Linked DNA regions of Canis lupus familiaris. The protein of the gene in region 1 interacts with the protein of each later gene in a pairwise test. Links are inferred from orthologs where the notes say so. Each region holds a gene or a part of one and is shown on either strand. Other genes may lie near its edges.

The links.
Region 2: the proteins of RGS19 (region 1) and GNAI1 interact in a two-hybrid assay, tested with the Homo sapiens proteins (2 studies listed by BioGRID). The link is inferred for Canis lupus familiaris from reciprocal best matches to the Homo sapiens genes RGS19 and GNAI1.
Region 3: the proteins of RGS19 (region 1) and GNAZ interact in a two-hybrid assay, tested with the Homo sapiens proteins (2 studies listed by BioGRID). The link is inferred for Canis lupus familiaris from reciprocal best matches to the Homo sapiens genes RGS19 and GNAZ.

Annotation. Positions count from the first base shown.
Region 1 is NC_049245.1:48,358,519-48,369,803, forward strand, and holds RGS19 (regulator of G-protein signaling 19), read right to left. Parts: upstream 6,706-11,285; 5' UTR 6,652-6,705; intron 6,326-6,651; exon of another isoform or gene 6,206-6,325; coding exon of another isoform or gene 6,203-6,205; intron 5,880-6,202; exon of another isoform or gene 3,959-5,879; 5' UTR 3,891-3,958; coding exon 3,861-3,890; intron 3,687-3,860; coding exon 3,565-3,686; intron 2,645-3,564; coding exon 2,570-2,644; intron 2,493-2,569; coding exon 2,258-2,492; intron 2,182-2,257; coding exon 1,990-2,181; 3' UTR 1,425-1,989; downstream 1-1,424. Other genes in the region: TCEA2 (transcription elongation factor A protein 2), read left to right, coding at 438-509, 629-637. UniProt on the Homo sapiens protein: Inhibits signal transduction by increasing the GTPase activity of G protein alpha subunits thereby driving them into their inactive GDP-bound form. Binds to G-alpha subfamily 1 members, with the order G(i)a3 > G(i)a1 > G(o)a >> G(z)a/G(i)a2.
Region 2 is NC_049239.1:20,210,052-20,221,236, forward strand, and holds part of GNAI1 (guanine nucleotide-binding protein G(i) subunit alpha-1), read left to right. Parts: intron 1-3,642; coding exon 3,643-3,800; intron 3,801-7,710; coding exon 7,711-7,839; intron 7,840-11,185. UniProt on the Homo sapiens protein: Guanine nucleotide-binding proteins (G proteins) function as transducers downstream of G protein-coupled receptors (GPCRs) in numerous signaling cascades.
Region 3 is NC_049247.1:27,903,148-27,906,227, reverse strand, and holds the end of GNAZ (guanine nucleotide-binding protein G(z) subunit alpha), read right to left. Parts: intron 2,346-3,080; coding exon 2,001-2,345; 3' UTR 501-2,000; downstream 1-500. UniProt on the Homo sapiens protein: Guanine nucleotide-binding proteins (G proteins) are involved as modulators or transducers in various transmembrane signaling systems.

The DNA.
Region 1 (11,285 bases):
GGGCGGGGTCCACACCTGCACCTGCACACGTGCCTAGTGAGTGGTGCCCGGGCTCCTCCTCCCTTGCCCCGCAGCCCTGGGCCCCAGGAAGCAGTGTCTCAGGTGGTGCTTTGCTTTGGGAGCTATAAGGGGGGGGCCGGCCTCACCCAGCATGGAGGGCCCAAGCAGGAGGGTGGGGGCAGTGTGCTGCCTGCAGTGGCCTCAAGACTGTGCTCAGACCCGTGGATGTGGACACGGATGTGGACCTCGAGATGTGCCAGGGGTCCCCGGTGAGGAGAGGAGGTGTGGGGTCCCCCGGGGGGTCGAGGGGCTACAATGCCAGCGTTGCCCGAGGATACGGATGGTCTCCTCACACTGTGACTCTCGGGAAGACCTGCTCCAAGTGACTGAGCCCCTGGGGCCCGGGTGGCCCCCCCTCACCGCAGCCCTCCCCGCAGGTGCAGACCCGAAGCTCTGATGAGCCCATGACCACCTTCGTTGTCTGCAACGAGTGTGGAAATCGCTGGAAGGTAGGTGGGCGTCTCCAGCCTGTGGGGTCTTCGTGATGTGAAACGGGGGGCAGCCCTGCCTCCGGGCCCGCGGGGGTCCCAGGGGTCTTGGGTTGACGCCTCTCATCCGTCTGCTGCAGTTCTGCTGAGCCCTGCTCGAGATGTGTGCGAAGCTTCGGGCTGTGGCCAGCACATTGCCGCGGCCTTCCCCGCGTCCTGTCGACAGACACAGCTTCTCGAGACCCGCCCTGAGCCCACCCGAGCACCCCACGGGGCTGTGCCCCCGGCACCCCCGCCTGGCGTATACCTCTTTTCTTTTCCCCAAATTATTAAATGTTTCTTTTTGCCATCGTGCTGTCCTGGCCCTTGGCTCTGGTGGACCAGCAGTCCTGGGCTGTGAGCTGGGTCCCCCAAGCCCCACGTCCGGCCCTGCCCCCTTCCCTGGGACCACTCTCCTCCTGGGGATCAGGTGACACTTGGGCTTGGCCCTGATGGAACAGAGATGGAGGGAAGAGCCCACTGGCCCTGAGAGGGGCCCTGGGATTCCAGAACCCCGGGGGCAGCCTGGCCGCACGCAGGGGCACGCACAGACACGGGGTCGGGGAGGTGGCCTTCAGCACACGGGACCCCAGGGCTCACGACCTCCCCAGGCCCTGTAGCTCAGGGGTCCCCCAGCCATCCATGGCGACCTGTCCCCACCCTGACTCTGTGCCTGACGGTGGACTGGGTGGGGTGGGCCCCGCACCCGCTGCAGCTTTGAGTTGCTTCACCTCCCAGAAATTCAGGTAATGGGTGGCAAGCACGAGCCTCGAGGAGGCCAGGAGGACGCCCCCATGCGTCCTCACGGGGGCCAAGCCCCTTCTGGGGCTGCTCCTGGATCTGGGACGGTTGTTCTTTCTTGAGTCTCCCCCCAAATGTGGAAAGAAAGGAGAGACGTTTGCTTTAAAAATATCTTCAATAATAAGATCCTATTTTGGATGAAGAAGGAATGGAGATAAATATGAAAACATCTTTTTCTTTTTTTGATAAAATACAGTAAGGATATGTTTCCAGGTTTAAAATTAATGAAAATATAAAAAAGAAACTGGCTCCTGTTGCCTTGAGCCTAGTTCTGAGGTTCTGGGTCTGATCTGGGTGCAGACAGCGTGAGTTGGAGGGTGTCCTTGCGTCACAGCTCGACAGTACAGAGGCTCTGCTTCCCATCTAAGGCGTCTGTCAAGGTCCCCGGCTGCCTGGGGAGGCTTCTGGATCCGTGACCGCTGCCCCCCCGGGGGGCCCCTCTCCCTGCACAGGAGCCCCGGCAGGAGCCCCCGGCCAGCCAGCGTCCCGGAGGCCCTCACACCTGCCCCTCGGCGGGACCTCGGGGGCTCCCGTCCGGGGCCGCCCCCAGGGGTGCTGCGCCTGTGGGCGTGCCGGACGCCTGCTGACACACACACTGGTGCGGGTCACCGAGTCTTTGCCCCCCGCCGGGGTCCGTGTCGGTGCTGCTGTGCCGGGCGGCCTAGGCCTCGTGCGAGGACTGGGAGCTCCCCCGGAGCAGCAGGGCGCGGTAGGTGGGGGAGCTGAGGAAACGGGGGTAGGAGTCCCGGTGCATGAGCGTGTAGATCTGCAGCTGCGCGTCGTCGAAGGTGTGCGCGGACGGCTCCTGCATCTTCTTGTTGATGCCTTCCCGCACCCGGGAGTCCAGGCTCACCTGTGGGGCAGGACGCGGGGTCAGGGGCCCGGGGTGTCCCGCCCTCCCCCCGCCCTCGGTCCCCAAGGCGGTGCACCTCCTTGGGGGACAGGATGGACACGTAGTCCTCGTAGATGAGCCTGGCCTTCTCGTCCACCACGTGCTGGTTGGCCTCCGCTTTGAGCTCCTCGCACGCCAGCCAGAAGAGCATGTTCTCCTCGCTGTACTCCGTGCGCAGGAACTCCCGGAACACGCCGCGGCCCGCCGGGCTGTGCATCAGCTTGTCGAACGACTGCGCCCAGCTCCGCACCTCCTCGGGGCTTGGCGTGGCGCTGTGGGCAGTCCCGTGGGGAGTCAGGCCCGCGCCCCGCCCGCGCCCCCCCCCCCCGCCCGCGCCGGCCGCACCTACCACGCCTCACAGCTGGGCAGGGGCTGCAGCTTGTTGTCCCGGGAGGCCCGCCACGCACGCCGCCGCTCCTCGTTCCTGGCGCAGACGGAAGGTGGCACGGCCTGCCCGGCGCACCCGGCCTCGGCCCACGCGTGTGCACGCACGGGCCCAGACGCGGGGCGTGAGGGCGCGGGCCGGGCCGCAGCCGGGCAGCCCCCCACCCCCACCCCTGGGACCCAGGCTGCACTCCAGCCCCACCCCTTCCTCTGTCTCCCTGGCCGTCCCCCGCCCCGCGCCCCCAGAGGCGCTGCTCCTGCTGCAGGAAAGCCCCGGCCGGCCCTGCCTGCGTCCGTCCCTCCCCGGGGTCACGACCTCTCAACCCTAGCTCCCACACAGGCCTCCGTTCCTCTCCTACCCCACCCGCTGGACCCCACAGCCGAGTCCTCTGCGAGGCCCGATTCACGACCCCGTCCCCGCTCAGGCCTGGGTGCTCACGGCTCAGCGGGTCCCCCTCCAGGTCCCCACAGCACCCAAGTTGGGCCAGGCCTCTGTGGCACGTGCACGCCCCCGACAGCCCTCCACAGGCCACAGAGCCGGTGACCGTGGGGCCCACCCTAGGGAGCTGCTCGGGACGCTCTCCCCCTCGCCCCCAGGCCGGGGCCCTGCTCGGTGTCCCCCAAGGGCTCCTTGCTCCGTAGGCCCCCGGGGCCAGCTCCGGCTGAGCACACAGGCGGTGGCCTGGCCAGGTGTGCACACGACACGCCCTTGGGGGAGCCGCCGGGCACGAAGGCCTACACGGTGTCGGGGCAGTGGCCACAGTCAGCAGGCCCGGCAGCCCCTGCGTGAGAGCCGTGGGCAGCAGAGGCGTCCTGCCCTCGGGTGGCCCCTGGGAAGGCACCGGAGGGTCTGCGGGCAGGACGCTGGGCCCCAGGTGTGTACCCCTCCCCTCCCCCATCCCCACGTACCAGGTGTGTACACCCCCGCCCCCCCCCCCCCCCCCCGCCGTCCCCACGTACCAGGAGCAGCTGCAACAGCAACACCAGCACAAGCAGCAGGGGTTGCGGCTGGGGGCAGCCGGGGGGGCCGCGTCATGACTGGACATCGAGGGGGGCCGGCCTGCCTCCTCTGGCCCTGCGTGCTGGCGACACGGGGGCCTCCTCAGCTCCAGCCCAGAACCTGGGGCCTGCACACCTCCCCCCGACTCCCCTGGTGTCACCCTTCCGGCCTCCCAGGCAGTCGAGGGTCCCCCAACTCCTCGTCCCCCCGCCCCGGTTCCCACAAGGGGGCAGAGGCAGGGGTGGAGGTGGTGCACCTGCTTCTCAGCCTCATGCGGGGTGGGCATGGGTGGGTGGAGGAGGTCGCCCGGGCTCCGTGGTGCTGGCTCCGGGACCCTCACCACAGCCTGGGGGTCTGAGAAGAGAGGTGGGGGTTCCCGCTGAGAACCTGAGACGACAGTCTCTACTTGCCTCTCCCTCCGCCCAGGAGCCCGAGGGGCCTGCTCCCCTGCCCCCACCTGCACCGGGACTGCGAGCAAGGGCAGGGGCGGTGAGGAGGAGCCAGACAAGATCTCCACAGGAGGTTCTGGGACACCCCCGTTTGCTCGGTCCCTGGGAAGCCGGAAGTCTGGGTTCCTCTTTCTTGGTTTCCGGCTCCTGGCCCCTCCCAAGGGGCCTGGGGGGCCCCAAGAGTCTGGGGCTATCAGCCTAATGCTCCCTCCATTCTGGGTTTTCTGTAGGGAGTGGGCGAGGTGGGGAGGGCTTGCCCCCCCCCAGGTGCCCAGATCTGCCCTCAGCCCCGGAGGGTTCCAGCCTGTTCGCAGCTGCCCAGCCTGCAGCCTGCGTGTGGGGCAGGACTTGAGGGTCTGGGGGTGTGGGGAATGCAGCAGGGCACAGTGAGGAGGGCCAGGCGCCTCGTGGGGGATGCAGGGCTCCTGAGGCCCAGACGCTGCCCCTGGCACCCCAACCCCCAGCGGGCACCTTACCACACCCAGGGCCTCCCAGCCTCCCTTCCCCCAGCCCCACCAGGCGGTGGAAGCCAGTGCAGCCTGGGGTGCCAGTCAGGGAGGGGAGCGGGGAGGAGGGCAGCAATGGGTCGGGGTGTCCAGCTCCCAGGGTCAAGGTGCGGGATCCCCAGACGGGGTGCGGGTCGGCATTGTTTACAATGCCTGTGCCCACGTTTCAAGGTGCAGGCGTGCAGGGGGCACTGGGCCCTGAAGCCCCCAGCGGGGGTGAGGAGCCCGAGCAGCCCCCCAGCCCCCCCCTTCCGTCCCCAAGGCCAACCACGGATCCCAGAGTCCATGCGGATCCCAGAGTCCACACCTGGGTGGCCGATCAGTGCCCCAGGGGCAGTCTGAATGCTTTCCCACCACAGCACCTGCCTCTGCCTGCCCTGGCCGGGGTGAGGACCCCAGGGCCCGGCTGCACCCCCGCACAGCCTTTGTGACCCCCCAGGCCTGCCCCCACCCCCGTCCCGGTGGCCAGCAGGCTCAGGACTTGCTTTCACTTCGTTTTCTCATGTAATTATCACATCACCCCTGGGCCTGTGGCCTTTCAACCCCCGCCTGGCCCACGTGGCCTGCTGGCTGCTGGGGTCTCGCAGGTGGGAAGGAGGGAGCGGCGGGGATGCCGGGGGCGCCGGGAGCCGTGCTCAGAGGTGCAGGGCCTGACTCAGGCACGCTCAGGGCACCCTTGCCTCTGGGGCCTGGGCACGCAGAGGCCCTGCCGTGACCCAGATCTAGGGCAGAGTGTGGGGTCCCCTGGGCTGAGGGCCCTGGCCAGCTGCCTGCTTCCCCTGAAATCATGGACATGGACGGGGAACCCTCAAACTGGGCCCCAGCCCGCCTTTCCTTCAGGGGTCTAGCTTGTAGGGAAGGGAAGGGGTGTGGCAACCCCCGAGGTCTGGTAGCCAGGCAGAGAACTGCTCTTCCTCCTCCGCACCCCTACCCGCTGCGAGTGGGGGCAGGGCCCCATCCCCCTCCACTCCCTGGCACCCCAAGGCTCTGCTCTGAACTGGAGGAGGGGCCAGGTCTGAGGGCGCCCACGTGCTGGGGGTCCTGGAGTGGATGCCTACACTGGCCCGGGGCTGGCGGGGTCTCCTGTTCACCCGCTGTCTCCTGAGGTCGCCCGGGGTGTGCACAGGGCTCCTGCCCCTCCGCCTGGCAGCTGGAAAGGGGCTCGGTCCCCTTTCCCAGCCCTTGGGCTCTGGCCCCCAAGTCTGGGATGGGGGAGGCTGGACGGGCAGCGAGCCTGGCCTCTGGGGACCGAGGCTCCCTTGGGAGCTGCTGCTACTCTGCTCCACAGAAGGAAAAAGAACGTCCCTGAGCCCGCCCAGTCCAAAAAAAGAATAAGAAAATGTGACAATCCCAGAAAAAAATGCCATAACCTTTAGGCGGAGGGTTGACAGGGGCTCCTTCCCCTGCTTCTGGCGCCCCTGCCTCCCCTCGGCCGCCCCCCGCCCCGCCCCCGCCCCGAGCGATGGGTGGGGCGGCCCCGGCCTGGGCCCGACCTCTGTGGCCCGGGGACCCTCGCCCGCCCCCAGGGCCGCGGTGCCGCCGACCCGTCTCCCTCCTCCTCCCGCCGCTGCGGGGTCTGCCCGGGGGGCGCGGCTCCGACTCGGGCCCGACGCCCCCGGGGCCTGGCCGCGCGCCCCACTCACCATCGGCCCAGGGGCGAGGCGCGGGCGGGAGGGCCGGTTCCCGCGGGGCCCCACCCGCTGCCGAAGGGCGCGCTGCAGCGACCCGGGTCCGCGGGCGGGAGGCCCTCCGCGGGGTGTGGAGGCGGCGGGAGCCCCGGTCAGCCCGGCCAGCCCCGAGCGAGCGGCTGCCAGGCGCGGGGCGGGGGCGCGCAGGGCGTCCCGCCGGGCCCTCCCCACCGGGCCGGGGGCGGGAGGCGCGGAAACCGGGGCTCTTCCGGCCCCCCCTTGAGCAATCACTTCCCCGGGCTCCGAGCTGCAGAAAGGGGAACCGGTGGCGGCGCCCCCTCCCCCCGCGCGGGGCACCGGCTCCGCTCCCGCCGCCGCCCGGGTCCACGTGGGCCCGCGGTCCCGGCGGCGCGGTCCGGGCTCCAGCCGCCCCCCCCGGCCGCCGACCCCCCGCGCGCACTCACCGGCCGCGCTCCCGGCCCCGCCGCCGCCGCAGCCCCGCGCACAGGTCCGGCCGCCGGTCGGGGAGGGGGCGCGGGCCGCAGTGCGCAGGCGCGGGCCGCACTTCCCCAAAGCGCGGGGCCGGGACTTCCTCGCGCGGGGAGGCGTCCGGCCCGCCCCGCCCCGCGCACCCCCGCCCCGCCCCCGCCCCGGGCTCCGCGGCCTCCCGAGGAGGCGGGTCCCCGCACCTGCAGCCCCGGGCGCTCCCGCGGGGGCCCGCGCCCGCCCTCCCGCCGCCGCGCGCCCCAGGGGCCCTCGGCCCTCCCCGGCCCCGGTGGTCGGCGCGCCCCGGCCCTGTCGAGGGGCCCGGCCGCCCCCGCCCCCGCCCCCGCCCCCGCCCCCGCGCCCAGGCCCCGCCGCTGACCCGGTCACTAAGCACAGCGCTCCGGGACCCCCACGCGGAGGGCCGACCTCCCACGCGCCTCGCTCGGCGGTGATGGGTGCCCCAGAGGTGGGCCCGGCTGCGCGCACGGACCGCGGGAGCCCGGGCTGGAGGTGCGCCGGGGGGGGGGGGGGGGGGGGTGCCGGGATGCTGGGGTGCCGGGGTGCTGGGGTGCCGAGGTGCTAGGATGCCAGGGTGCTGGGATGCCAGGGTGCTGGGATGCCGGGATGTTGGGGTGCCAGGATGCTGGGGTGCCGGGGTGCTGGGATGCCGGGGTGCTGGAATGCCGCGGAGCTGGGATGCCGGGATGCCGGGGTGCCAGGGTGCCAGGATGCTGGGGTGCCGGGGTGCTGGGGTGCCGAGGTGCTAGGATGCCAGGGTGCTGGGATGCTGGGGTGCCGAGGTGCTAGGATGCCAGGGTACTGGGATGCCAGGGTGCTGGGATGCCAGGGTGCTGGGATGCCGGGATGTTGGGGTGCCGGGATGCTGGGGTGCCGGGGTGCTGGGATGCCGGGGTGCCGGGATGCCGGGGTGCTGGAATGCCGCGGAGCTGGGATGCCGGGATGCCGGGGTGCCGGGGTGCTGGGGTGCCGAGGTGCTAGGATGCCAGGGTACTGGGATGCCGGGATGCAGGGTACTGGGATGTCGGGATGCCAGGGTACTGGGATGCTGGGGTGCCGGGATGCCAGGGTGCTGGGATGCCGGGATGCCGGGGTGCCGGGATGCCAGGGTGCTGGGATGCTGGGGTGCCGGGGTGCTGGGGTGCCGAGGTGCTAGGATGCCAGGGTGCTGGGATGCCAGGGTGCTGGGGTGCCGGGGTGCTGGGATGCCGGGGTGCTGGGATGCCAGGGTGCCAGAGTGGTGGGATGCCGGGGTGCTGGGGTGCTGGGATGCTGGGGTGCCGGGATGCCGGGATGCTGGGGTGCCGGAATGCCAGATGCCAGGTTTTTGGGATGCTGGGGTGCCAGGGTGGTGGGATGCTGGGGTGCTGGGATGCCAGATGCCGGGATTCCGGGATGCTGGGATGCTGGGTTGCCAGGATTCCGGGATGCTGGAGTGCTGAGATGCCGGGGTGCTGGCATACTGGGGTGCCGGGGTGCCGGGATGCCAGGGTGCTGGGATGCTGGGATGCCGGGGTACTGGGGTCCTGGAGTGCTGCAATGCTGGAGTGCTGGTATGCTGGGGTTCTGGGGTGCCAGGATGCCGGGGTGCTGCGATGCCAGGATGCTGGGATGCTGAGGTGCTGGGGTGCCAGGATGCTGGACGCCGGGGTGTTGGGATACTGGAGTGCCAGGATGGTGGGATGCCAGGGTGTTGGGATGCCAGGGTGCCCAGATGCTGGGGTGCCCAGATGCCGAGATGCTGGGGTGTTGTGGTACTGAGGTACTGAGATGCTGGGGTGCCGGGATGCTAAGATGCTGTGATGCTGGGGTGCCAGGATGTTGGGGTGCTGGGATGCCGGGATGTTGGGGTGCCGGGATGCCGGGGTGCTGGGGTGCCAGGATGCTGGGATGTTGGGGTGCCGGGGTGCTGGTGTGCTGGTGTGCCGGGATGCTGGGGTGCTGGGATGCTGGGGTGCTGGGGTGCCAGGGTGCTGGGATGCTGGGGTGCTGGGATGCCGGGGTACTGGGGTGCTGGGATGCTGGGGTGCCGGGATGCCAGATGCCAGGTTTCTGGGATGCTGGGTTGCCAGGGTGGTGGGATGCCGGGGTGGTGGGATGCCGGGGTGCTGGGATGCTGGGGTGGTGGGATGCTGGGGTGCCGGGATGCTAGGGTGATGGGGTGCTGGGATGCCGGGATGCCAGGGTGCTGGGATCCTGGGGTGCCTGGATGCTGCGATGCCGGGGTGCTGGGATGCTGGAGTGCTGAGATGTCGGGGTGCTGGGATGCCGGGGTGCCGGGGTCCTGGGATGCCAGGGTGCTGGGATGCTGGGATGTCGGGATGCCGGGGTGCGGAGGCACCGGGATGCTGGGATGATGCGGTGCCAGTGTGCTGGGATGCTGGGATGTCGGGGTGCTGGCGTGCTGGGATGCTGGGATGTTGGGATGCTGGGGTGCCAGGGCGCTGGGATGCTGGGGTGCTGGGGTGCCAGGATGCCGGAATGCCAGGATGCTGGGGTGCTGGAGTGCTAGGGTGGTGGGATGCCGGGGCGCTGGGATGCCGGGGTGCCGGGATGCCGGGATGCTGGGATGCTGGACTGCTGAGCTGCCGGGGTGCCGGGGTGCTGGGGTGCTGGGATGCTGGGATGCTGGGGTGCCAGGGTGTTGGGATGCTGGGGTGCTGGCATGCCGGATGCCGGGATTCCGGGATGCTGGGATGCCGGGATGCCGGATGCCAGGTTTCTGGGATGCTGGGGTGCCAGGGTGGTGGGATGCTGGGGTGGTGGGATGCCGGGGTGCTGGGATGCCTGGTTGCTGGGGTGCTGGGATTCTGGGATGCTGGGGTGCTGGGGTGCTGGGATGCCAGATGCCGGGATTCCGGGATGCTGGGATGCTGGGTTGCCTGGATGCCGGGATGCTGGAGTGCTGGGGTGCTGGGATGCCGGGGTGCTGGGATGCTGGGATGCCGGGGTGCTGGGATGCTGGGGTGCTGGGATGCTGGGATGTCGGGGTGCTGGCGTGCCAGGATGCTGGAATGTCGGGGTGCTAGTGTGCTGGGATGCTGCGGTGCTGGTGTGCTGGGATTCTGGGATGTCGGGGTGCTGGGGTGCCGGGGCGCCAGGATGCTGGGGTGCCGGGGCCCTGGATGCCAGAATGCTGGGGTGCCAGGATGCTGGGATGCTGGAGTGCCGGGATGCCGGGGTGTGGGATGCCAGAGTGCTGGGATGCCGGGGTGCTGGGATGCCCGGGTGCTGGGGTGCTGGGATGCTGAGGTGCTGGGATGCTGGGATGCTGGGGTGCCAGGATGCCAGATGCCAGTTTTCTGTGATGCTGGGGTGCCAGGGTGGTGGGATGCTGGGGTGCTGGGATGCCGGGGTGTTGGGATGCTGGGGTGCCAGAATGTTGGGGTACTGGGATGCTGGGGTGCTGGGGTCCTGGGATGCTGGGATGCTGGGGTGCTGGGATGCCGGGGTGCTGTGATGCCAGGGTGCTGTGATGCCAGGGTGCTGGGATGCTGGGATGCCAGATGCCAGAATTCCGGTATGCCAGGATGCTGGGGTGCTGGGATGCCTGGGTGTTGGGATGCTGAGGTGTGGGGTGCCAGGATGCTGGGATGCCGGGGTGCTGGGATGCCGGGATTTTGGGGTGCTTGGATGCCGGGATGCGTTATCAGAGCGGGGAGGATGGTGCTGGAGGCGCTGTGGGGCGCCGGGAGATTGTAGGCCAAGCCCGAAGGGAGCGTGGGACGCGGTCACGGAGGTGACAGGCCTGGGGGCCGGGGAGCCCCCTCATGTTGTGTGCCCAGGGACCCTGGCCGGCATGCCCGCAGAGCTATCTGGCAGCTCGAGTGGACAGGCTGGCCCGGCCCGGGCAGAGGCTGGAAGCCTGTCCAGCCGGAGGTGGCTGCTTCTCACTTAGCCTAGGTCACCGTCGGGGGAGGCAGGTCCTCAGAGACAGGCCAGCATCTGTCACACAGCCAGTCTGATCCCACAGTGACTGGCGTGGTGTCTACACCCACCTCCTGAGAAATGTGGGGGGCAGCGGACGGTGGGGGGAGGTCGGCACACCTCTCCCCCTCATGCCGTTCATTGTGCACTCCCTCCACCCTCCCCGCCCTCCAGACACTGTACAGTCTCCGGCCACTCCCCTGCACTCCGCTCCCCTCGCCCCAGCCCTTCTGGGTCTCCTGCAGCTTCTCTGGGGAGTCTGTCCCTGAACAGAGCGTATCCCCGGTCCACAGGAGGAATCCAGATGGGCTGGGCAGAATCTTGGTCAAAGTCATGCAGCAGGTGATGGTCCGGGACTTGAACCCAGGACCCTCTATCTGGGACGTGAATCCAGCCCCGGGAATCCACTTGCTCCCTCCGTCTCCCGGAGCAGAGGCCTCCCCTGGGCCCCACAGAAATGTCCTCAGCCACCTTCCCTGGCCTTCTTTGCAGAGCTGGGCGCCTTCCCCCGTGCCAGCTCAGTGCCCGCTGCTCAGCTGCCCGTGAGGCCACCCTCTTGCTGGGCTCCTCCACGGGGCTTTGTGTTCTTGCCTGATGTGGAGTGAGCACACCCGTATGGGGCCCTCTCCGCTCGCTCACAGCCCAGGTGAGACCCTGAGGTCTCTAT
Region 2 (11,185 bases), on another chromosome or scaffold:
TGTATCCTATAGAAATGTGGTACATTAAGTATATGAGTACTTCTCATATGTGGTATTCAGTATTGTTGACTAATGTTATTGCTGAAAAAATTGAGCTAAGTCACTGGAACAAAAGATTTCCATACACGTATCAATCATGACAGTAATACATTATCCTTGTGGCCAAAAATTTAGAGTTGTCCCTATTTTTAAGACTCCTATATCATATTGTTTAGTTTCTATTATAGAGGACTTTCTGATATTTTCTGTTTAAATCTCTAATCTCATTCATGAATTCTGTTTGCTGTATTACCATAAATAATCATCTGGCCTTTGCTTAAACACTTCAATCTTTGATTCCTCCCCCCCCCCTTTTTTGATGGCTTTAATTGTTAAAAAGTGTTGTTCATATGGAATTGAAATCTGGTATTTTTTGCCTTAAGAATTCGTAAAAGCCTTACATCTAAATACCTATCTTACCTTTAATGATCCTTACTTAATATGTCAGAAGACAGCTGTCACAGTTCCTGTCTTCCCTTCCCCAGCCCAGAAGGACTCTTCCTAATTCTCATAGAGTGGGTGACAACTTTTAATAAAATGCACAATCACTAAATAAAGCATGCCAAGTGTTCCCTGACCATCAGTGGGAAAAGGGGCCCTATTACATGTCTCTTGACACCGAAGCATTTCATAATTCCTTTCTGAGTTCCCAGAGCACATAGTTATGTGAACTGGAACTTATATTTTCTCCATCATCTGATTTTTTTTGTAGTAGTTTGAAAACATACTAACTTGGCTACTCCTGGATTTTTCCTTGCTACTCACAAATTGCCTGGCAAACGCTTCTTTCAGCAACATAAATGACTACCTGTTCTGCTTTACTAAGCTGTGTCCCTTCTGATTAAACTTCAGTATTGTCTTTGGTGATGCCAATATTTTTCTACCCCACGTCACACTGTTTTGATGCACTTATGTTTAGCTTTCTAAATGTTTTAAGAAACATTATTTTACATAAATTTTGAAAAGATCTCGTTCCATGGCCAGGTAGGATCATTGTTATCATTCTGCAGTTTTAACATTTGTCTTGTCTTGGGCAATGGCTGTTTACTGACTCCTTGCTGATTTGTGTGATTGGGTGAGCAATTAGCTGTGAAACTTTAAATGAGTTGCCTCATCTCTCTGTGCCCCAGGGTCTTTTTATACAAAACAATAATATAGGTAGAATAATTTCTAAAGTACACTCCTGCTTAGATTTATTACCTTAAAGTTCATCTACAGACATCTGAATGTCCTCCTAATGACATGGAAGTGAATATTTTAATTAGCCTCTTAAGAAAAAGAGACCAAAAAAAAAAAAAAAAGAAAAAGAGACTACATTTTGTGAAGAAGACATTTTTGAATGCAACAGAATATAGTTTATAAATATACTTTCCAAAGTCTCTCATGTTTTTTCTTCAGGCTTCTTTGTAGAAAGTTTGAAGAGAATGTGATCTTATGACCCATACCACAGGGCATTAGTGTTTTCTACCAAGAAATTTTATTGAAATTGAATAAATATGAGGAAAGCTCATTAAACCTCCTAAGTAAGGGATGCCTGGGTAGCACAGTCAGATAGCAATCGACTATTGGTTTCAGCTGATGGTCATGATCTCAGGGTCCTGGGATCAAGCCACACGTGGGGCTCTGCACTCAGCATAGAGTCTGCTTGAGATTCTCTCTCTCCCCTTTCCTGCCTATCCCACTCGTGCTGTATCTTTCTCTTTCTCTCTCAAATAAATCTTAGAAAAGTATTTTTCACTTAGTAGACTTTTTTTTTCTTTTTTTAAGATTTTATTTATTTATTCATGACAGAGAGAGAGGCAGAGACATAGAGGGAGAAGCAGGCTCCATGCAGGGAGCCTGATGCAGGACTCGATTCCAGGACACCCCCGGGACCGTGACCTGAGCTGAAGGCAAATGCTCAACCACTGAGCCACCCAGGTGTTCTGAAAAATATTTATCTGAAATGGATGGAGAAAATTATGTTTGATGTTCAATTAATAAAAATGACCAAATTTAAAAATTTCTCATATATAGGTAGTTATTTGGAAAAGTGAATAGTTGTTTACTGCAATTAGGTAAATGGTGCTAAGAATGACTTAAAACTCTATTATGTTAGCTTTTATTAAGGCTTGTTGTACATGCATTGCTTGCGTACATTGCATTTATCTTGTAATTTACTAAAAAGGGAAACATATGCTTGAATAAAAGGTTCCCATGCTGAGTTACTTAATTATTTTTCACTGTGGGTTCTATGGGAGGAAAAAAAAATTCACAAATTGGCAGCAAAATGAATTTATACTGTCAGCAAGTACTCTGCTATCCTGTGTCACCAAGTGCTTCTCTACTGTGTACCTTCCTTGTGTTTGCCATCACTTTATAAAAATGTACTCTAATACTTTGGGGAAATGCCCTTGAGAGAAATTAGGGATTGTCCACCCAGTTAACATAAAGCTACAAGTCTCTGGCTATAGAGAATCTCTGTGAAGTTAGCAACTTCACATCTCCCCTATTTTTGGATTAACTGTATTTTTACCTGAAAACTGGAATTGTGTTATGCAGCATTATAACTACTCCCCACATATAGTTATTGAGTATTGGAAATGTGTCTAATCTGAATTGAGGTGTGTTGTCTATATAAAATAAATGCCAGATTTTGAAGACTGAATATGAATAGAAATATGAAATGTTTCAATAATTTTATCTTGATTACACATTAAAAGGCTATCTTATGTACAGGTTAAATAAAGTCTTTTTATACTAATTTCATCTTTTAAAAAAATATGGCTAGTAGAAAATTTAGAATTGCATCCTTGTCACAACTCCTTTGGAAGTGCTCACCTACTGTGGTTGGTTACCTATGGATCAGAATAAGTATTTGTAGTCTCAAAACTTAAGGAAAATTTAATAACTTTATATGCATCATTCCTTCATTTAAAATATTTTGCATGCTGTCTTCAATATGCATCATGAGTATTTCTACTTCATAGCTGTGTTTGTATCCTCTGCCTGCATTAACAAACACCTGCTCCCACCTCCTGCCCCTTGGCTTTAATGTATACACATCTTAAGGTCTCCTGAAAATTTCAGATCATTCTGTAAAGCTATTATCGTTTATTCCACATTGATTTCTCCCTCTCTGAATTTCTTTTGCTTCCATAGAGAATATCAGAAAGCCAACATTTAATGAGATTCTCCCTTAAAATAATCTCTAGCAATGTTAGTGTGTTTCTTAGAAACATTTTGGGTGGGAGGGGTAAGGCATACATTAGTTCTCTGTTTGTAAAACTGATGAGTGCACAATAAACCGTCAGTGATAGCAAATAGCTGGTTAATGTGTCCCCTCATGACCTGTAGGTGTAAGTCATTCTTCTAGTTTCCTGGAGCCTTGACCGCTTATTACTAATATTACAAAACATAGACCTGCGATTTAAGGTTATGCTCTTTTGGTTAAGCCATTTTTTTAAGTGGTGCTTCAGAGAACTAAAAGCCATGACCCCAATGAAAAACAAAGGAAATGCATGATTGCACTTTTCGTAATCTAGAATGCCTCCCTCTGTACTTTTAATCTGTAATGTCTCCCTTTTTTACTTATTAAAAAAAAAATGGTCTTTGAATGTTCAGGATGATGCCCGCCAACTCTTTGTGCTTGCTGGAGCTGCTGAAGAAGGTTTTATGACTGCAGAACTTGCTGGAGTTATAAAGAGATTGTGGAAAGATAGTGGCGTGCAAGCCTGTTTCAACAGATCCCGAGAGTACCAGCTTAATGACTCTGCAGCATAGTAAGTAATCATGACTTCAGAACTAAACTATCATGAATAATTTCTTGCAAGTCAAATATACCTCCAAGTCAGTGCTATTGCAGAACTGGCTGACACATTTCTTGTAAAACTCAGGATATTCAGGATGACAGTATTTGAAAACTTTTCTGGATTTTTTGGTGTGTTTGTAGATAGCATTGCTGTTATTTCCTTTGTGTTCGGAGGTGTCTCAAGAGACTCACCCTTATGTAACTCTAATTGAAACATTCAGAATAGACTGTTGGCAGCATATTTCCAAGAAAGTAAACTGGAACTTTGCAAAGTTCACCCTGAATTTGAGCGTATCTCAAGTTTGTGTGGGGCCAGCCCAAGGGGAGGGGAGCTGATTTGGTTCTTTTCACTAAACTTAAAAGTGCCTGAGAAGAATTATTTGTCCAGTGACAGGCACCCTGCATGAGATGTACCTCTTTTAGAGGGGTGTATGGTGATCCCAAGATGTTTCCTCATTGAGTAAAATATCTCTACGCTTGAAAATTGTCAATTGTATGTGCTCTGTTGCATTAGATATCATTTACAGATAGCTAAGTACAGTATTTTGTAAGAAAAACCTGCCCTGATTTTCTAAGTGGTGGCCACTGAGAGTTCATAAAGCAAAACCTGGTCAGGGAGCTTTCTGCTTGGTGATCTAGCTACAGTAAAAAAAATAAATAAAAATTAAAAAATCAAGTGTTTGTTTCCATAATCTAGCAGACACAGTCAAAAATGTCAGATATGAGTAGCATTAACTGGTCTTAATACATGTGCTCTGTGCTCCTTTTACTTTATTCCATTTTCTTGACAGCTACTGGTGTTCAGGGACACAAATGAGGGTGAGAGAGAAGATGATGGTTACTAGAGAGGACTAGGTAAATACACCCATTTCACCACAGTGAGAAATAGGTTACGGCTCTCCCCAATTATCACTCAGCAGGTCATTGGCTACACATAAGAATACTCAGTTTCTGTTCTGTGATTTAGTGTGAGGGAGTAAATACACCTTACTGTGTAACCCATACCAATTTTTATTAGTATTTCCTATTCTATATATTTTTTTTAAGATTTCATTTATTTATTCTTTGGAGAGACAGAGACAGAGGCAGAGGTTAGAAGCAGGCTCCCTGCAGGGAGCCCGATGTGGAACTTGATCCTAGGAACCCTGGGATCACGCCCTGAGCTGAAGGCTCAACCACTGAGCCACCCAGGCGACCCCTAATCTGTATTTCTAATGCTTTATGACTATGTAAGCTATATAATATATACATATTATTTTGTATGTATTTTCTATATGTATATGTAACATGTTACTGAATATGTAGCTCCCCTCTCCAACTGGTGTCATCTTTTCTTAGGATATATGCCTTGACTCACAGATAGGTCTTTGCCTCCCTGTCTTACATACTTAAAATACAAAATATTTCTTTCAGAGCACTCACAGATTTACATTTGAGGTAATTTTTATTTGTGTTGAAATGATTTTCTGTCTCTGCCACTACACTGTAAATTCAGTGCGGTCTGTTTTCACCCTGTGTGCTTTCTCCATGACACACAGTTGTCATTTGCTATGCTCTTGTTTAATAATGAGTGAATGAATAAACCATACTTTACAGAAGCTCGAAGAGAAATTAGAAGAAAATGATTTACAGGAAGAACACGATTCTTAGACCATATTATTTGCTTTGGCACCACCAGCTCCTGCAGAAAGAGCTAAATGGGAATCACTCATGTTGAGAAGATTGCTCTGAGTAGAGCCCAGCTAGGGGAGCTTTTGCAGTAATTAAGGGGTCCTTCTCAGAGATGATCGGTTGAAGTCACTTTCCCTGTATGATGGGACTTCCTGGACCACTGCAGTCTAATGACCAAGACTTGTCCCGTGTGCTCAAGTATCGGGGTATGCACTGGAAAAATAAGTCATTTTGGTTCCCCAGTATTTCATTACTAGTAGTTCTGACTTCACGATGGCAACAAGGGAGCCACTTTTCAAGAATGAAGGAAGTCCTAGAAATCTTTTTCTCCATAGTGGTCACAGAGCCTCTTGATTTCTGAGTTTTGGGCTAGAGATGGGAGATGTTGCCAAGTTGCCCACTGGGACTATCTAACTACCAATTTACTTGAAATTCATGATCATTTTAAATAATTGGAGTTTTTCCCAATGCCGGATTAATTTGTGTTATTGAAATATGAATGTGCATTATTTTTAGAGACTATTGAGTAGCATTTTTAAGCAAATAAATGTATGGGAGTAATCAAAGTGCATTTTAAATAAGATTAACACACTATTTCAGAGGGACAATTCGTAAAATATTGCCATGTGTTTATTAGATTTTTTTTTTTACAATACTGTATATCATTATATATGTGGAATTAAAAACACAGAGTACTAGGGGATTATCAGCAATGTGATAATAAGATTATTTTAAGTTCAATAAATACAATGCAGATAACTCCAGGTATGCTCTATGAATTCTGGTATCAATATCACATACATATACTTAACTGTCTAAAACACTGTTGATTACTAATTCAGTGTTTCGATAGCTTTTCAACTCCATCTCTACAAATCAAATATTTATTGAGCTCCTTTTGTTTGTAAGATCTGTTCTAAATGGCTAAGGAACAGTTTCAGAAGATAACGTCCATTAAAGTTGTAGTAGTTGGTGCCTCTGTAATAAACACAGATGTGAATCTTCTAAATTATCTTTGACCACTGCACTCTAGTATCAGAAAACACTGTTGGGAAGCTTCCCATTTAGAATCAATTCCAGACTTCTCATTTGAGTTTATGCACAACTTCCTGGGGGCCTTACTTTGTGAGAAGCAAGATCTGACAATTCCTGCCTCCTCATACTGTTTGACTACTCTCCTGATCTGGATTGCATTCTTTTTTTCTGTTCACATCCCTCATCATTCAGATTTCTGTTTACAACCCTCCCCACCCATGAAGGCTTCTTTCACCACTCAGGTTCACATTACTCTCTTCATACCTGGACTTTCTATAACATTATTTACTATATAAAATGACACAGAATAATTTACAAAAATAATCGCATGGTATGACACCACTGCATTTTAGTAGCATAACATATTTGACATTGTTGGCAAAGAGTATTGAACGGGTGGGTGGCTAAAACCAGTGAGAAGTAAAATATGAATATATTTTTTTAAATATTTATTTATTTATGATAGACATAGAGAGCAGAGACACAGCAGGAGGGAGAAGCAGGCTCCATGCAGGGAGCCTGACGTGGGACTCGATCCCGGGACTCCAGGATTGCGCCCTGGGCCAAATGCAGGCACTAAACCGCTGAGCCACCTAGGGATCCCCAAATATGAATATTTATTTAGAGAACCAGTAAAATGCAGAGTAAAAGAGCGTGCGTAGTGTTTTCCTATTTGTAACTTAAAGCTGGCTGAAAAAGAATAGTATTGAATTTAGCCTTTGGCTGGAGATCTACTCATTACTTTCTCAAAAACTTCAGTCTTTGTAACTCCTCAACAAGAGTAATGTCCAGAAAAGAAATACATGCTACTTAAAAAAAGTGTAATAAAGACTTTTAAGAAGCTGACTCCTAGTGTACAATTGGTTGTGTGTGGTTTTTAAGAAATTATTCTGTTTTGTTTCTAACAAGGAGAATTACTAATTCGTGTCCTTAGGAAACAAAGTACACAGTACTTAGAAAATGTTAAAAGGGCTTTGTGGCTGGAGAAGTATACATTTTCATTTCAGTGGGAATTGTATAACATATAAACTTAAATTGGTTGTATTTTTACATCATTACACAGAAATATAAAAATTTCCATTGATTTATGATATTGCATGCATCAAAATGTTTTACTTCTTGATGTAGATGATCTTTAAGGGCTATATTAACTATTATTTTATTTATTTCTTCAGCTATTTGAATGACTTGGACAGAATAGCACAACCAAATTATATCCCAACTCAGCAGGATGTTCTCAGAACCAGAGTGAAAACAACAGGAATTGTCGAAACCCATTTTACTTTCAAAGATCTCCATTTTAAGTAAGTAGCTTTAAAGCATATCATTTACAAATTTAGGTATAAAATACCTTGTTCAGTAAAGAAAGGTGATTAGACAGACAATATTTTGGATGAAGAAGGACAGGAAACATTCTTAGGAATATTTAATTTTTATTTAAGAAAAAATGAACATGCAAATCTCTTGTTTATATTTTCAAAGTGATTTAAATAAAAATAATTTTTAGCTTTTATTTCTAAATAGAAAATATTGCTCTGATATTGCATATTTGGAGAAAGTGTTAACATGTATTCTTAGAATTTTACTGATTGTACATATGCTTATTTATGGAAATGGTAAAAATGAAGGGTACCTTTTAAAAGTTTTTATTCATTCAAATGTTTGCACTTTTTCATGATGAAAAATGTCATTTAGAGTATGCTAAATACTAACTTAATGAAGTTTGAGCAGAGAAGTACTGAATTGTAGCCTGTAGAAATGCAAGGGATCTCAGAACTTGTTTTGTCCAATACACTCATTTCATAATGAATGAGACTCAGGGAAGTTTAGTGAAACATTAATTTTCAGACCTATGTTCCTCTTTTTTAAAGTATGAAAAAAGTTATTGGACTGTGCTTCAGATAGCCCTAATGCTCTGAAACAGTTTTAATGAAGCAGAATTTCTGAAAGCACCTAAAGTTTCCTAGTCAAAGATGAAAATATTCTTGAAGGTCACTGTTACAAGTCGTGGGAAGTACAGTTACATATATGCAACTATACTGATGCAAATGTACTTCTGATTCCTTCTATAAGTATCTTATTTTTTAGGAGAGAGAGAGACAGAGCAAGAGCATGCGTGCACCTGAGGACATGGGAAAGGAGGAGGGGGAGAGAGTCTTAAGTAGGCTCAATGCCCAGGATGGAGCCTGGCATCGGTCTTGATCTCCCAACCCTGAGATCACGACCCAAGCTGAAATCAAGTCAGAGGCTGACCTGACTGAGCCCCCCAGATGCCCCTCTTCTATAAGTATTTTAAATATGTTTATTATCATTAGTCACTAATTTATCCCACTAATTTATCAGTGGTTCCTGTAATTGATTTTCCAGAAAACCAAAATTGAATTTTAATTTTCCATAGCAGCTTCCCTCCACCCTCCCCCAAAAAAAACATTGCCTGCTTTTTTTAAAAAACAGAATTACAATTCATAGTTTATCTGACCATGTAACTTTGTACTTAAATACATGATCAACTTTTTCATCTCCTTTTAATTCCTTTCTGTTTTCGCCAGTTTGTAAGCTGGCAGTGGACATTCTTTGGCTGGCAGTAGCTCTTACCAAAATCATTTACTTTCTTTTAATCTGTTCAGTACTTCTAGGATATTAAATGACCAAAGTGGGGAATAGTAAAACATTAATATTTAAATAGTCTGATAGGTCTGATCTGGGAACTATTATTATTACATTTATCTTAAAGTTATAATTTTAAGGAAACTTCACTGTCAGAATGAGGCTTCAAAGTTTTGGGGGTTTTTTTGTTTGTTTTTACTTAGATTCTGATTTTTTTTTTTTTTGCTTTTTGTTTACTCTTTTTTTAAACACCCTATTTTAAAAGCAAGCTTATATTGTTATGTTCAGCTAATGGCTTTAACAAATACAGTCTGAGGAGAAAATGCACGGAGCTGGGGAGAACGAGGGCAGAAGGAGACTTAGAATGATTCTGCAGGAGTTCCTGTGTTTCTCGTTTTCGTGTTTTGTATTGTAATTCGTTCTTTCATTTTAACAGCTGATGTAAAATTTCGGTTTCGCTTAGTATTTTGTATGATCAGAATTAAATTCAAGAGGAGGCAATAAGGCATTGTAATTTAAGAATACATATTCTCACCTCTCTGACTAGGCGTTTGTGGAAAGTGTCTGCGTGGATCATTTTGCTTTAAGGAATCAACCACTTTACTTTTTGCCAAATAGGGAATTATAGCATCCCTTCTCTTATAAAATTGTAAGATAGATTTCTCTTCCTTTTCTATAGTCGTATAAATGTGAAATGGGTTTTGGAGTACGTTATATGTATAGGGTGGATATGCCTGTAGGGTCATCTGGCTTCGTACCAGTCGGTCTTGGTCTCATAGGACAGTCTGAGAATATCAGAACATCTCAGAATCTTCAATATCCCTGTATACCTTTTCCGTCCCCTCCCCGAAAAAAAAAAAAAAAAAAAAAAGAAACCTAAGAAAACTCAAATTCATTCCCTCTTTGATGCTAGAAAAAAAACTCTCATCTGTTCATCTGAAGGAGAACATATTATTTTGTTCTGTTTTTGGTTAATTTAAAAAAAATCGGAATTTTAAGATAATTCTAATGTGTGAAAAAGGAATACTGCCTTATGCACAGTTATTTGTAACATCAGATTTTAGTCATTTTTGCTCCTTGGCTTAATGAGTTAAGACCAGTGATTCCCAAAGTATGGTCCCCAGATCAGCAGCATCAATTTTGCCCACCTGGTGATTCTGATCTACACTAATGTTTGAGAAGTACTTGTTTAGATGGAAGGTTCTTTGTTTATGACAAATCTATGAATGACCCTCGTTCATTGTTAAAATAAGCTGAGATTTCTTCTGTAGTTAAAATACTGGATTATCAAGGTAAAGCTCCCTTACACGTAACATCCCACAGCATAACTGGAAGACCTAGATCTTGAACAAGGAAATAAGGTTTGTCTATTATCATTTGAAGGCATTTTAAAATATTCTGTAGACGTAGTTCATTCACTCAACAAATATTTATGAAGTATGACAAAGTCTTGTCTTTACATTGTTGGGACAGGAGGAGGCAAGAATGAAGTAAATATTATAATTATCAGGAGGTAATAAATTGCTAGAGTGAGAAATAAAAGCAAGAGGGATATATTCATTCCTAGGGTAGCTGTCGCAAGTTTCCACAAGTGAGGATGGTATAAAGCAACATAAATTTATTCTTTCATAGTTCTGGAGCCTCCAAGTTTGAAATCCACATGTCAGCAGGACTGTGTTCCTTCTAGAAGCTTTACAGAAGAATCTTCTCTTGCTTCTGGTACTGGTTGGAAATGCTCTGCGTTCCTTGGCCTTGGTCACATGGCCTTCTTCCCTGGTTTTCCTCTGCTTCTCTCTCTTTCCTCATATTTTTTACGATAGCAACAAGGAGAAACAAAACCATACTCTGCACACTTTGCTAGGAAATTTCCTCAACTACTCTTCAAGTTCATCTCCTAACATCCAGTACTAGAGCCTTCTAGCAGAGGTTTTGTGACTCTACACCAAGGATTACCTTTTCTCCAGTGTCCAAGAATGTGTTTCTCACATTCCTTCTGAGAACTCCTCAAAAACATCTTTAACATTCACGTATCCTCTAAGGTAG
Region 3 (3,080 bases), on another chromosome or scaffold:
AGGTGTTCAAACAATCTGGAAGGAGCCTGATGCGGGCTGAACAAACTTGCTGGACTATTCAGTAGTGCTTTCCACCACATGGAGATGCCTCTAACCCCACAAGCCAGAGTCAGCAGACAGGACAGTGGGGTACGTACCCCTCCTCCCCACATCCTGCAGCACCCTCCAGGCTCTCCACCTCTAGCGTCCTGGCAGAGGTGTCTTGGGGTGTGAGGGGTCTGGGTGACCCTGGGCTGAGGTGTCCTGGGCTAGTGCTGGGTGGGGGTCTCGCAGCCATCATCGCCCCCAAACCTCAGCCTCTCTAGACACATGGGCCAGACATGGCCCCCATCTCTTGCAGTTTCTTTCTTTGCTTGAGGTTGTTTATTCTTGATGGTCATTTCCAAGTGATTCTGCATGAATGTGTGGACTTGGAGGAGAGAAAGCAAGCTGGGCATACAGGTGTGTCTCCGGGCACGCTCCCACAGGCCAGCCGCACACATAGCACGCCAGGACAAAGCTTAGCTCATTCAGGATATTTTATTTTCTTAAAGTAGACAATCTTTAACTTTCATACAATCACCAGCTCCTCTTTCCCTCCGTACATCTCTTAAAGTCCTTGGCTGTGATTCCACGCACTGACCTTGGACATACAGGTACCGAACAGAGGCTGAGGGCAAAGGAGATTTGGCAAGGGCTCTGGCGGTGCCTTCCCTCTTGACGGCGGGGGTTCATATTTACATGCGGCCCTGGGCCAAGGTCCTTCGGTGGTGGCGGGTGCCACAGGCCCTGGGACAGGAAGGGCCAGAGTGCGAGGTCCCAGCAGGGCCTCCCTCAGGCTGCGCGGGCTGAGCCTTCACAGGAATTGTCGTAGCTCTCAGCCCGTCTCAGGTGTAGGGCGTGCGGGGGCCGGGGCCCCATTTCTCGCTCCCCCTTTCCTCCACTTGCAAAGCCATGGATAATTTACTCTTTAGATACCAAGACATTTAGCTATTGTTCATTCGCTCCTAGGTGAAGAACCTTCTTTAAATACATCACATTTATTTTTCTGAAATAAAAACGAAGCAGAAACCGCACCGTAACAAGAGGACGCTGCACGAGCTTATGTACAACGCGGCCCCGCGACGCTGCCGTAGGGCGGCCGTCCGCCCCAGTGTCGCTCGGGAGCAGAGGGACAGACTCATTCAGATAACAACTTTTACACTCAGCAAGCCAGACACAAAAAAGGACCACCTGAAAAAAAAACATAGGTTTTGAAAATCTGCATTTTAAAAAAGAATACTCAACTGCATTTGAAATTTTCCGTATTTCTGCGAAACACCACGAGATTTGGCCAAAAAAAAGGATGTCGGAGAAGAAAAAACCAGGTTTTGATTTATAAAACATCAGACTAGTAGAAGAAAAGCTGGAACCCAGCTGGCCTAGTTTGAGACAAATGGTGCCACTCGTGTTATTGTGTGGATTTTTGCTGCATATTTTGAAGCTGTTTAAAAAGAGCTGTGAGTGGCTAGAGGTCTGGTTAGTGCTGTCGTCTGGCCTTGCACCCGGGTTCCAGAACAGCCGTGGTACAGGGCGGGCCAGCGGGGAAGGCGCATGGACCCTGCTCCGGTCCTCCCTCCGGGTCAGCAGCAAGGTCCCCAGTCCGACGCTTGGGCGCAGCCGGCTTCCTCCGGATGACCCAGCCGCCTCTCCTCTGAGTCCCACGGGGACCCCCATGCAGAGCAGGGCCGACTCGGGAAGGCAAGGTGACGGGGCAGGAAGGGCCTGTAGTGAACCTGGTGACAGCGGCCGAAGTCTTCTAGAGGCTCCAGCGCTCCGGGGAACTGCCATCTCCAGACCGTGTGTGTGCGCGTGTGTGTGTCTACCTACCTAGCAATCTATCCATATATATTTATGTTTGCGGGAACGGGGGGCCATTCCTCAGGCCCCCGTCTTCTGCCCCTGGGCTGGGTCTCCCTAGCGCGAGGGGGGGTGTGACACCCCGGGGGTTTCGCCACAGGCCAGCCGGCCAGCCCGGCTCCTCAGCAAAGGCCTATGTACTTGAGATTGTTCTGTATGATGACGTCTGTCACCGCGTCAAAAACGAACTGGATGTTACTGGTGTCTGTGGCACAGGTGAAGTGGGAGTAGATCTCCTTGGTCTCCTTGTTGCGGTTCAGGTCCTCGAACTGCCGCTGGATGTAGACAGCGGCCTCCTCGTACGTGTTCTGGCCCTTGTACTCAGGGAAGCAGATGGTGAGCGGAATGCGGCGGATCTTCTCCGCCAGCAGGTCCTTCTTGTTCAGGAAGAGGATGAGCGAAGTGTTGATGAACCAGTTGTTGTTACAGATGGAGTCAAAGAGGCGCAGGCTCTCTGCCATTCGACTCTGCGGGCAGGACAATTCCGGTGTTAATCAGGGGGTGCAGTGTGGGAAGGCCCCAGGCCCGCAGCCCTCCCGGGAGAAGGCCCCCCGGAGGGTCCCCCTAGTACCCTTCTGCCCGGCAGGCCTTCTCTGCCAGGCCAGGTCTGTCTTCACCTGCGTCCCCTGGGCTCTCGAGCCCCTAAAGTTGCTGGCACCGCCCTCGGCACCTTGACACCTGTTTGTAAGGGGCTGTCCCGCTTAGCTGGCCCCTCCTTTGTGGCGTGGGGCTGCTGCATGGCCTCCCCCCCGCTGTAGGGACCTGTGCCACTCCATACTCACGTGGAGGGCCCCATCTCCTGCTGTCCCGTGCTAGCTCGGGCCTGGAGCTGCCATCACATCACGTCTCTCTCTACGTGAGTGTGGCCAGGCTCCTGCCCCGCCGGCAAGTCTGGCCCTCTTGGGCGTCGGCCTGTCTTCCAAGTCTCGATCCTGTCACCCGGTACCGTCAGTCCTCAGCCCGATCTCTGAGCGGAGAGCCTGCGCTCCCAAGGCCCAAGGCTCCAGTCCGGAGAGTTGAGGAAGGCCCGGACCCCCCTGCCCCTGCCACGCCACTGGGCTCAAGTGAGGACAGCGGCCCAGGAGGCTCAGAGACCCCAGTGGCACTGCCCTTTATTCACACCCCTTCTTTCAGAGGACCTTAAATGGGTTGTAGTGACTGAGTTTTTAAGGAACATAACGCATCTGACTCCCAAGCCTGCC